Linked DNA regions of Nothobranchius furzeri. The protein of the gene in region 1 interacts with the protein of each later gene in a pairwise test. Links are inferred from orthologs where the notes say so. Each region holds a gene or a part of one and is shown in the gene's direction. Other genes may lie near its edges.

Region 1 (3,649 bases):
TAAGAGCCAGTTTCTCTTTGTGTGTCCCTCATTAGTTCAGAGTCCAGCTGAGTCTACTCCTCTTCAACTCATCATGAAGGGTGGGTGGAGGATAGGATGACAAAAACAAAGGAAGTGGGGTTTTTGTGTCACTCTCTGATTGGATGGGGCTTCAGATGACGAGAGCTGCTCAAGGGCTCTTTTGTCACCAATTAAAAAGGCAATCGGGCTGAGCACCATACAGTAAACAGGTGGTTAAATGAACGCTTTCTAATACATCTTTTCAGATGTCTGAAAAGAAATTGCTACTCCAAAAATTTGGAGGAAACCCAGACATGGTTAGCTTAAAGGAGCAATATGTGAAAATTCTACTGAGAAAATATTTAAAACTGTTTATTGTCTCAGTCATTTGGGAAGGAAGGTTCCTTCTCAGCCAGCTGGGAAGTTGTCAGTTTTCCTCCTTTCAAAAAAACAAGAGGGGCTTAGCCAGTGTTGCCAACTTAACGACTTTGTCGCCATTTCTAACGACTTTTCAGACCCCCTTAACGACTTTTTTTCTAAAAAGCGCCTAGCGATAAATCGGGCGACATTTCTGACCCCCCTCAGCTGCTTTGACTACAACTTTGTAGCAGACTTTACCTGCAGATTAGCGATGCATCTGAAGCGACAGGACCGTCCTTCCTTCCAGAGGATCAGAAAGAAAATGTTCTGCGCGTGTGCGTGCAGCATGATCACGCTACCCTCGTTGACCAATAAAACCTTTCGTGGGTTTTCACAAGTCCATTATTTGAGATGGCCACCGGAGCTACAGAAAGGGCGACCGCTCTTCGGCCGCTGAGCTCGCCTGGCACTGGCAGACAGCGTCGCACTCACACATGGCTTCTCGCACCACTTGTGGTGCATTCAAGGAACATTGGAACTCTATGATGAGTTCAGTAACGTAGCACATTTAAAACTTTTATAAAAAAACAGAATAATACTGCAAGACAAACACCTCAGGTCATTGGCAGTTTGCATGTAACGTTTCTGAATACTAAATACAGCCTGCTTCTACACAAAAGTACTAAAAACAACAAAAACAAACAAAAACAAAATATATATATATTATCTTTTAGGTCAAAATATAGCACTGAATCACAACAGAAGAATACATCTCAAGGCACTTGAAAACTACAAGAGAAAATTCATTTTAAGTCAATCACACATACATTCCTATCAATTTAATATTTTTGTGTTTACGAGTTCCATTCTCTTCAGACAAAATAAAAATAGTCCTTCCATTTTTTGTGCCATCTTTCCTTGATGTTTTAAAGGCCGCTGTTTTGTATTCTATGGGGTTTTTATTTTAATAAAATATAAAAAAAATTAAATTTTTTAAAAATAAAATCACGTGGGCTTTGTTTGATTTACTCTACAAGACCGGTGACGTCATGCGCAAATGTGGTGACATCATCACGCAAACCAGATGACGTCATTGTGTCGTATGCAAGTTAGTGCGTGACGTCATCTGGCGACATCTAGCGACTTTGGGGGGTAACTTCAGCTAGTTTCAGTCAAAACAGTTGGCAACACTGGGCCTAGCTACTGCTTACAATCAGTGAGGTTGCCGAATCTACAGAGAGCTAGCAGCTAACACCAGCAGGCAAAAAACTCTACAGTCATTTAAAGAACTGAAGCCAGTAAACAGGAGCAAGCCAGAAGTTATTTCTTGGACCCTTATAAGCCACGACGTATTTATGTTTTACTGTAATATCTGGTGAAGTAGTCCAGATGCTAATGTTAAGCTAACGATGGTAACAGGGAATTAGAGGCAACTAGTTGGCTGTAAAAACATCTCAAGGTACTTTTTCAATCACCAAAATCTCAATAATACAGTGACGTGTGTGTAAAGTGAATTATGAGTCAACGGTGGCGTCTTTCTTCATTTAATGAGTCGTTCAGAACTATAACAGCGAGCTAACAGCGAGAAGGCAAACAACTAAACTTCCTCTACTGCCGAGGACACTTTACCGTAGTAAGTGTAGTAAGTGCTCCCTTGTCATTGTCACACCAGATGTGACAATGCATTTTTCCACTTATCAACTTACTGTGATATCTCGTCTTCACTCGTCTTCTGATGCTGATCTGTAACTGCCGACAGCCGTGAAACTCACTCAGAGTCACGGGTAAAGTAACAGTTTGCTCAGAAAAGTGGCCTGCAGTAACCACGTTTGGCCACAGGATGTCATTCTTACTTCATTCTTAAAATGTGCATCTTTAAAATGAGGACTAGAAAACCCCGGAATTGTTACAGCCTCAATAAACCCTTTTCACTCCAAGCAATGAGTGAAAATTAAGCTTTCGTTGATCACGTTTGAGTTGATCTCCCTCTCAAGTGTTTTAAGTAATGAGATGCTAAATCTCCTGACAGTCGAGATTTGCTTTTAGCGCTTTGATCGCCTCCCCAATTTAATCAATTTCCCACCAAGAGAATGGAAACATAATAAAGTGACTGGATATGCTGAGCCGTCACATGAAGAGTGTGTGTGGTTTCCCCCAGCTAGCCTTTCATTTTCAAATCCCTCCTGTGTCTGAGAGGCGCCGGCCATCTGCCAGATGATGTTTTTGTTTGCAGAGACCCAGATAAAGTTGTGAAGGTCGATGTGCTGCGAGGCCTGTGAGGCGACGGCATGCATGCTGAGGAGCCGCCTTTACAGTCAGACACCGAGCAGAAGAAGAGAGGGCAAAGAACAGAGGAGAGAAGAAGGAGAAAGGGCACTTGTCATGTGAATGTTGAGAAAGAGGAGCCGCTTGGAGGCAGAGTCGGATTTTCTTGAGGAAAAATGGATGCACGTCTGCAAGGTTTCATACTCTCCTCTGTTACAGCTCCTTCCATGTTAGATCCGCATCATCTCTGATGAATGATGCTAACTTGATGCAAGCACATCTATAAAAAAGTGGGAACCGAGTGTCTCTTTCGTTGTTCGTCTGCCATTAGCTTCCCTAAGCTGGGCTTTAAAAGCTCCTTGGTGCTTTGTTCTGAGCTTGTGGTTCAAAGAAACCCCACAGCTGGTGGAGATAATGAAGGGAAAGCTGTCTGGCTGCTCCAGCGGTGTGAACTTGGATGTGTTAATCCATCCGCACTGAGAACCAGAAACTTCTCACATGGAGGCGAAATCCTCGGCCCTGACTAATTTCTGTCGCTTTGCAGAAACAAGACGGTGCTGACGCTTTGTAATATTTGTTTGAATGCAAAAAAAAAAAAAAAGGGAAGATCTTTGAAGGGAATTTCAAATTTTCTTTCTGCAGGCCACGGTTGCAGCCTTCGCAGCCAGCGAAGGTCACTCTCACCCTCGGGTGGTTGAGCTTCCCAAGACGGAGGAAGGGCTTGGCTTCAACGTGATGGGTGGCAAGGAGCAGAACTCCCCCATTTACATCTCTCGCATCATTCCTGGAGGCGTGGCTGAAAGGCATGGAGGCCTAAAGCGAGGGGATCAGCTGTTGTCTGTCAACGGTGTGGTAGGTGACGTCCAACCAGACCGTGCAGAATGAAGGATGTTTGATCTCAGGTCTGATATGTGAGTCAGCAGTCAGAGCTTCTGTATGAAGGTCGAAATGTTGCTCTCATCCTGAGTAAGAAGCTTTCCCTTTGATCTGATCATCATGAATGAATTAATATCTCCTCACCATG
Region 2 (4,447 bases), on another chromosome or scaffold:
TCATCTGACCTCATTCTTGGAGCACATCCTGTTGCTGAACCTAGACCTGACCAACTGCAGCCACCCCAGATCATAGCACTGCCCCCCACATGCGTGTAGGTAATAGGCATGATTACTTTTGGAAAATGTACCCAAACATTAGTTGTTGTTTTTTTTAGCTTTTTGCATGCATCACTTCATTTGCCTCTCTTCTTGCTCTGCATTTTTAAAATTTATTTTATTTTATGAGGATTTTGAATAATTTTTTAGCCTTTTTCATTTTGTAAATTTTTGTTCTTGTGAATGGCCTTGTGATTTTTCCCATGAGAGTTGCTACATTAAGAGATCTTTTCTTCTTCTTCACTATCCTTCCAGTTTTTAATAATGCGTCGGACAGTTCTTAACTCATTTTTAATAGTTTCTAGTATGACCTGCCAGACTCTCCCACTGTCTGTTCTACACAGACATTGACATGGCTAGCCAGGCTAAGTTTCTGCAATCTCCTTAGATGTTTTGGCTGCCTGATGCATCCCAATTATTTGGCCCTTCTCAAACAGACACTTTCCATAACCATGAGATGTGTCTCCACATGGTTGTTTAAGAAACCAGAAGCAACTATTTGCACCCAGTTGGAGTTAAATAACTTGTTGCCAGGTAAAAGATAATCGCCTATGCAGTGATTGTTTAGTAAATCCAGGTGGCAATTTTTTTATGGCCAGGCAGCGTACAAGCGTCCTCTGCTGGAAATTGTACACCATCACACATTTAAGGACATGAAACAATTCTAAATCAGTGCTCACTCAGAATTTTGTTTGAATACAACAAAATTGTTTAATTTGCAAATTGATTTCAATTAGATTAGCAGGTTAAATGTTATGTTATGATCTGTAAAATGCAAAACGAATAATGCAGTTCAATACAAGCTCACTATATTAGAGATGAATAGGTTCTTTGTTTTTAATTAGTTATTTGGACTATTACAATGGTGCATATATACATTAAATTAAATAAGATATGTAAAGTATGTGTAGTCTTATAAACAGACAAAACACGTCACTATAGAGATTGAAAGTGACCACTGTAAACTGTGCTTCTCATCACTGCATCTACAAAATATCGGTAACACTCTTTCTAGATGTCATTAATGCTGTGTTCTGAAAAGGGTAAGGGACCATCTGGCTTGTTATCAGCACAGTTCAAAGGCCAGCTTTGGAAACAAAAACACGTGAGTGAACTTTAGTGCACATGGGTAGCAGCAAATGTAGATCTGTCAATAGCACCTTCAGAGCAACGTATGTTTAGCCTGGCAAGCCAGACTAAATAATAATAATAATAATAATTATTATTATTATTATTATTATACTTCTTGTTATTATTATTGCAATTTATTATCATTTAATTTTTGCAAGGCAAGATTGTGATCTAGTTCACTAGGCTAGGCTGCCATACCAGTGTAGTTTCTTTTGTGGAAGTATTACCCATCCTAGTGTGTGTGTGTGTGTGTGTGTGTGTGTGTGTGTGTGTGTGTGTGTGTGTGTGTGTGTGTGTGTGTGTGTGTGTGTGTGTGTGTGTTAAATGACAGCGTCGCCAATCGATACTGCCTGTGGTTTTAAAATACACACACGCTACATAATCTGCATTTAGATTAATAAAAATAATATCTCAGCCTTTAGTTCTTGGAAACAAAGTTATAAACCAGCCCGATAATAATCCTGAACGACATTTGGTGTGTGTGAGCTAGATTTAACCCGGAGCTGAGTGACATGTGCGCTGCTTCCACCTCTGTGTGGACAGACGGAGACGCGACTGGACATGCATGTACAAGTGACTGCTGCTGGATATTCGCGGATTATGATGGACTGAGATCAGGGAAAATGGAAGCGTGACTGGATGCTGATTACAAGACGCCAGGTAGCGAATCATTAATAAAAATGTAACGGTCTCATCGAGGAGCTTCTCTTGAGTCTCGGCTTTCACTAATGTTAGCCACGAGCAAACTAGCTTCACCAGTTAGCTAATTTTATCCCGCTGTTTTAGCCCCGCTGCTGGGATCACGCTAGCTCCACTGGCTCTTTAGTTTAAGCTGATGATCTGATTTGAAGTGCGAGCGAAAGTTTGAGATCGCTCGGCTGAAACAGGTCCTACAACGCTCGGCATAGCACAAGTAGCTAGCGGTACATTTTTAGCATAGCTAACATGCAGGCATGTGTGCTAGGACTGATTTAGGACGCGCTGTGGTTAAATAATGCCGAAGAAGACCTGACATCACACAGTTCGAGTCGTAGACTTCAAATCATTTCTGGTTCGTGTTCACTTACATTAAAACGAATGTTTTCACAGTAAATTTGCCATTAACGGCTAGTTATGTTGTCTACACGTGCGCTGTGCGTGTGTCGCGAGCTCGTCATGACAGCAGGTTTGATTCATTCTGAGACCATGTTGACATTTAGTCTGATTTCTTTAATTTTCCACACAACTATATACTAAAACATCGAGCCCGTACATGTAAACTAGCTTTGAGCTCGTTATAACTAACTTTCCCGAGCCCGACCGAAATAATGCGTCTCACTCAGTGGGTGTTCAGACGTTTTTATCATTTCAGCTTTTTATTAGAACTAGGGCTGCCACAAACGACTATTTTATTAGTCGACTAGTCGCCAGTTTGGTAACGGTTAGTTGCGACTAATCGTGTCATTCATAAAAGTATAGCTTGTTGTACCAGGATGCTGTATGTGTGATCAGTTATGTGCCATCTAATAATAAAGATAATAGCATTCAGTGAATTTTGTTGCAACAATGTCAAACAGATCAGACGTAAGCAACTAAAAACTAAAATACAAAAAAGACTTGAGCTCACATGAAATGTATCCAGCTGCTAAATAATCACACAAGGTCCCGGTTTACACTCAGGAAAGTTAGCATTTCCACATGTTCAGGAGAAAGGCTTGCTCTCTTCTGAGAGCAGATGTCCCCAGCTGCAGAGAAGATCCGCTCAGATGGCGTTGAAGTGGCAGGGATGCACAGAAACTTGAGCTGGAGTGTGCATCCAGCACACCGGATAGAGGCCCATCCATGTTTCTCTTCAAGCAGTCTCATTGCTACCACCATATTTGACCCACTGTTATGAACTACTGCTTTTATTTTAACAGGCATGATTTCACACTTAGCTAAAGCCTCTTCTATCCAAGTCATTATATTTGTGCCTCTCTTCTAGAGGCATGGTGGCAAGTTTGAAGCTTTACATGTTCCAGTCTTTGCAGGCGAGATTTTAAAAATGCTCATACAAAAAACGACGCGTTGACTATTAAATCGTCGACCTTTTTTTTTGTCAACATCGTCGTGACGCGTCGACTAGTCGTGGCAGCCCTACAACTCTGGGTAACTTTATATGGATTCTGTCCAGTGATGCTAGCTGGCCCCAACATCAGTTTGTGCTTTCAAATATAAGAGAGTAGGTTAGTCGTAAAGGAAATGTCTTATCACCCGGACATGTCTAAGAAATTACTAAAGAGAAAAACTAACAAACACATGTAAACAAAGGGCCAAAATTTCTTATTTAAAACAGGTTTTCTTTTGTTTAGGACCTGTTGATGCCTAGAAACATTCATATATTAGAGGTATGAAGACAAACATTTTCAAAAAATACCAGAAAATGGAGTAAAAGTGGTGAAAAACGCTTCCAAAACCCAAAGACATTTAGAAAATCTTTAAAAATACTGAAGAAATGTTGCTGAATTGGAAGTAAAAAAAAATGAAACCAAGAGGGTCTGACTGAAGACTTTAGCACACAGAAAATGACCCTCCACACATGCTCATTTGATCACATGTGAAGGGAAAGAATGTTTTAGTCATTAAAAAGGAAAATGACAAAACTGCCAACATGACAGGAGCTGAGTGCTCACAGCATTTCACTAACCCTAAAAGAACATCTGCCTTACGTTTCTGTTGGCATACTTGAAACAAGACAGTCACCCTAACACAACACTAAATACATGAGATGTTGCTTCAGCTCTGTAGGAAAGGAAACATGAACATGACCAGCTTCTGAGTTACTGAGGACATTTAAAACAAAACTAACTGGATCTCCTCATCTTGTGTTCATGAAGAGTAGAAAAGATGGGACTCAGCGCTGCACTGATGATTTAATCACAGTTAGTAGGTAAGTTCTCATAATTCGTGCCTATAATTTAGATGTTTTGGTTGACTCCTGTGGTGACTAGCATTTAGTATGTTCACACAGTTTATATGTAATGATTCTACACAAACTATCATGTGTTGGCTGTTCTTGCTACAGTAGATGTGTTTTTTTTCCTGTTTGGAGAGTGTGTTTGTACAGTGAGTCTTAGTTGTGTGTGTGTGGCTGGTACGACCTTTAACCAGAGTCCCAGCTACACACACATGCACGCTTATGTTTTGTTTCATATATTCTGTATTTGTCTGTGAACCGACACGTAGAGCATGTGAATTT
Region 3 (4,449 bases), on another chromosome or scaffold:
ATCTTGAGAACTGAGATCTTGAGGCTGTTTCATGCACTCTGGCGCTGTGTCAAAGGGAACTGTGGAAAAGGTTAAATAACCTTGGAGGAATAGCTCCTTCATCAAGTTACACTTGATTAGTTTTTAGGTTATAACAATTTGCAAGTTAATCAAAACACAAAAACTAAACATATCAAGTTTTACTCAAGAAAATAATACATTTAAAATATATTTCTCTGAAAGAAATTAGTGAAGTTAAACGTAAATGCAAAAAGCTTAAATTTCCCTTATCCAGACTTGTTTGTGATAATTAAATGCTCTGACTTGTAACCTCTGAGGTCAACCTTTTGCTCTGAAAGTTTAGATTTCATGTGATGTCAGATTAAATATTGGGCTTGGACATTTAGGGTTTTGAACATAATTCTAAAAAGACTTTAGAATCTGCAAAAAATGACCTATAGACACAACAAATGCATAATTCTGGTGAACCTGTCCCTAAATTTCAGACCTCTCTGGCTTCTCCTGGTGATCATCATGTGATCTGCAAGGTCCCTCATATAATCTCTTTATTAAGTCAAATTAGACATTTTTCTGCTCTACAGGGCTTGCGCTGTCATTTTAATGTGTGAAACAGTAAAGACTTGCAATAAAACTGTGTACCATTCATAGAACAGTGCCATAAATATAGTTTAGAGGATATCATGTATAATTTATCATTGAGTTGGGGTCACTGTTGATGCAATGAGGCACTTTGTGATAGCTCCAGGATTTCTTCATGGAGAGATGACGTCTCAGCTGGACTGGAAGCTCCTTCTGTGCCTGCGGGAAAAGTATAAATGCACAGAGCAAAGGTGGGAAGATGTGAACTAAGATGAATCCAGTAGACACTCCAGTCCTTTCTCAAACCCTTTTCAAACTTGTCAAGTTGTGTGATGTTGCCTAAGAATGTTTTTTTAATGCAATGGCCTAAGTGTGGCAGACACACTTTTGAATAAATATTACGCTAATTTTCTTTTTAGTGGCTTTTATCTGCAAATGGAGTGATATTTGCAGTTCTATTACAAAAGCTATTCTAAACTATTTTGATTTCATGTGTTGAAATATGCTTCATCAAGAAAAATATACCTTAGCTAGAATGTTAAAAAATGCAAACATGTAAGTCTCATCACTGTTGGAATTATGATTTGGTGTAGTGCTGATTTGGGTACTTATAATTTAATTTATCTGATTATGCTTGCCGGATGTTCTTAATGCTTTTTTTTTTAGTTAATTGTGACCTTATGGCACCGTTGAATAATTACAATGGAGTTTACAGTAAATAAAATAACGAAATTAATCATTATAATTAATTGTTCTACAGGTATATATTTAAAATTGATTTTTTTGGTAAAAGTCTAAATTCATAAACTCTGAGTGTCTATTTTAATCCGCCTTATTCAATGTTTTACATAGTATTGTTATTTACGACATTGTCGTTACGTGTCTGTCGGAAAGATGGCGCTGTAGAGCTGCAGTGTTGCCAAGGAAACGATTGAAAACAACCGGTGGCGCAGTTCAGAAGTGTCCCGACTGCGCTTGGACAAAACTCAACAACCGCTGAACGCGTTCCTAGGGAGAAGACGGCAAGTTTCTCATTCACGAGCTGCTCGGATGTTCTCCGGAGATTTTATTTTAAAAGAGCCGCTTCCTGCTCCCGAAACTCGGACTCATCGCTGGTTTTGAAGTGGTGAGTAGAGGCTCTCTGTAACGGGACGGCTATGCTGTTAGCTTAGCAGCGATGTGCCGCTAGTCTCTGAGCTAAATTGGGCGCTTCGGTTGGTGTTAAACACCGACGATAAAACCAGAAACTTTGTTTTTAAGTGAAAAACTTTTGTTATTCTACAGAGTTGGTTTGTATGAAAGTTTAACTTACTTTGCAAAACTATTCGAACACGTTTTTATGTCACTGCTGTCTTTAGTGTTTCCTTGAATCGACTTAAAATAGTTTACCCCAACTAGCCTCTAGCTGTTTGGGCACTATTTCTAATAAAGGAAGCATTCAAGTTTATTAAACATGTGATTAGCGTTGCTTGATAATTTAAATATAACTTGAACGTTCAAACGTGGGGAAAACTTAAAAAAATAATGTATTTGTGTCACCACACGGGTTGAGCAATGTCCAAGTCGGGAAAAAAACTATTTTTCTAGTGTTTATAGTCATATTTTATGTTTTATTTCACTAAACAAATATCTGTGTACGTAATAATCTGCTCTACTGTTTAAAAATATGTTTTTGACACAATATGACTTTATGCACATTGTCAAACACGAGAGGATGGTGAGAGTAAGACAAGTATCTCAATTTATGTAAGAAAATGTGCTTTACTGATTTGTTTGGTCATATATAATATATAAAATGCAGAGGGCTGAATTTGAGGCCACAAAGCGGAGCCAGTTTCTTTGTATCACCTTGTTTGGTTTGTGCACTTCCTCTCATCCTCACTTCTGTACCCAGGCGCCACTCTCTACCCTGCATCCTTCTCAGAACTGCTTCAACCAGTTAGCAGCAGCAGAGCATGAGATCTCAAGCTTAATTAAGCCCACGGGAACAGATGGTCTGCTGGCAGTCTCTGCTGCTCCTCAGCAGTACCCTGCTACACTAAACACAACTAAATGGTTCTGGAGGGGAGGGTTTAGGAGGAGTGGACCTGCCAGCCGTGATTAGCTGTGGAGAGTTGCTGCCAGTTAATTGTAGGGGACACGACTGACTTTGACACAGGAATGTCAAACGTGGCTTTCAAGGACAATGTGCATGTGTTTGATTCTCATTTTCAATCTGTGGCAATTTGATTTGCAAAGAAGGGCAAAAATTTTTTAAATAAGAGCGATACAATCATTAATGACACAAATATCAAAAATTTTACTTTAATAATGTGCAAAAACAACTCGGCTTTTAATCCTTTTACTGTTTTCGAACAGGATTTTCTATTAGAAAATTTCCACTTTGAGGCACGTCATACCATCAAATCCAGATTATAACATCAACAGAATAGATCTTAATCTACAACATTCACAACATTACCCAGGTGGTAATGCATATCTATGTGCCATTTTCAGTTTTAATTTTTTTAATTCACCTAATATACTCAAGTCGAGTCAGTTTATTTTTGTTTCACAAGGTACAAAATGTAAAATTATTCAGAAATCCATATCAATTAGCAAATACAGTAAACAAAACATTAAGTAGAATCAAATTATTTAAAATTATGAAGGTGAACTCCGCTTCCAAGATATGCTGAACAGATTTGTGCTTTATTTGAGTATCAACACAAGCAACAAGCTATATTTTGGCTGAGGTGTTCTGGTGGACAGGTGAGCCTGGATGAGGCTGTGTAGAAGGGATTTAAGGTGACCGAATCCTGAAAGCTCTCCATGTTAGAAATTAGATTAGTGGAGAGACGGACGAGAGTGGAAAGGAGTAAAAGTTTGTCCTGATCGACACGCAGCCAGATTATGTGTTTTAGCGAAGCCCCAGGTAGTTTGTGAGTTTGACATTGATGTTGTGTGAGACTATGAACAAAGTCTGCTGAGTGAGCAGAAGGATAGCACGCCCAAACAAATCCCTTAACCTTTTTTCAATAGTTGTTGATACAGTCTGAGATTTTTGCTGAAGTTCAAGTTTTAAAAACTAAAAAAAAAAATACATTGAATGATTTTAAGTTAAAACATTTCTAAAACAAATTATTTTTATTTGTGTTTTTGTATCAGGAGGAGCGATGACTGAACCGGCACAGAGGACTCCATCCTCCAATGGCGTGCCTTGACCCTTGAGCTGATAGTTTCCAGCAGCAGCTTCTCGTGACGCTCTGGCAGACCTCAGGAAACCCTGGGGTGGTTTGAACTGTACGCCGCAGCAACAGGGATGATAACATCCCATATGAACGGTTATGTGCAAGAGGCCTCTGGTCAGGCCATGAGCCACAGAGAGAGGGCTGTGGACTGTCCGGGGCAGGAAAGCAGCCTTGTCAAATCCCCTCACTGCAGTGCCCACATGGAGAGGATCCAATATTACCAAGAGGAGCTGAGGAGGAGGAGAGAGGAGGACAACAAGGGGAAACATGACATTGATCCAAACGCCTCTCTGAGGCTCAAAAAGCTGTCGCAGAACCAAAAAGTTGGCACTGACAATCCCACCTTTGAGAGGAAGGAAAAGGCTTCCGAAGATGCGGCCTGTCTGGGTCCTGTTGTTGGTGAGTTCAGTGGAGGAAGTGGGTGCTGGCAAAGGCTCAAGGAGGTTAAACGGAAGAAGAGAAGGAGCAACGCAGCCCTCAGGGAGGAATAGACTTGTGAGGTTTTTTAAAGAGCAAGTCGCGCCCTACCAGAGTTTTACTCCACTCCCACTTCATGTTTGAAAAATGCAACAAATGTTGTTGCCTGGCAGACCAAGAGGGCGGAGCCACCAACAAATACACACACAGGCTCACAACAACA

Evidence for each region.
Region 2: the proteins of lin7a (region 1) and protein PALS2 interact in binary tests that used the Homo sapiens proteins (3 or more experiments, as listed by UniProt). The link is inferred for Nothobranchius furzeri from reciprocal best matches to the Homo sapiens genes LIN7A and PALS2.
Region 3: the proteins of lin7a (region 1) and pals1b interact in binary tests that used the Homo sapiens proteins (3 or more experiments, as listed by UniProt). The two-hybrid records come from large-scale screens. The link is inferred for Nothobranchius furzeri from reciprocal best matches to the Homo sapiens genes LIN7A and PALS1.

The regions. Positions count from the first base shown.
Region 1 is NC_091741.1:40,971,003-40,974,651, reverse strand, and holds part of lin7a (protein lin-7 homolog A), read left to right. Parts: intron 1-3,267; coding exon 3,268-3,477; intron 3,478-3,649. UniProt on the Homo sapiens protein: Plays a role in establishing and maintaining the asymmetric distribution of channels and receptors at the plasma membrane of polarized cells.
Region 2 is NC_091745.1:83,010,387-83,014,833, forward strand, and holds the start of protein PALS2, read left to right. Parts: upstream 1-1,518; 5' UTR 1,519-1,890; intron 1,891-4,085; exon of another isoform or gene 4,086-4,090; 5' UTR 4,091-4,138; intron 4,139-4,447.
Region 3 is NC_091742.1:8,458,242-8,462,690, reverse strand, and holds the start of pals1b (MAGUK p55 subfamily member 5b), read left to right. Parts: upstream 1-1,514; 5' UTR 1,515-1,705; intron 1,706-3,726; 5' UTR 3,727-3,880; coding exon 3,881-4,208; intron 4,209-4,449. UniProt on the Homo sapiens protein: Plays a role in tight junction biogenesis and in the establishment of cell polarity in epithelial cells.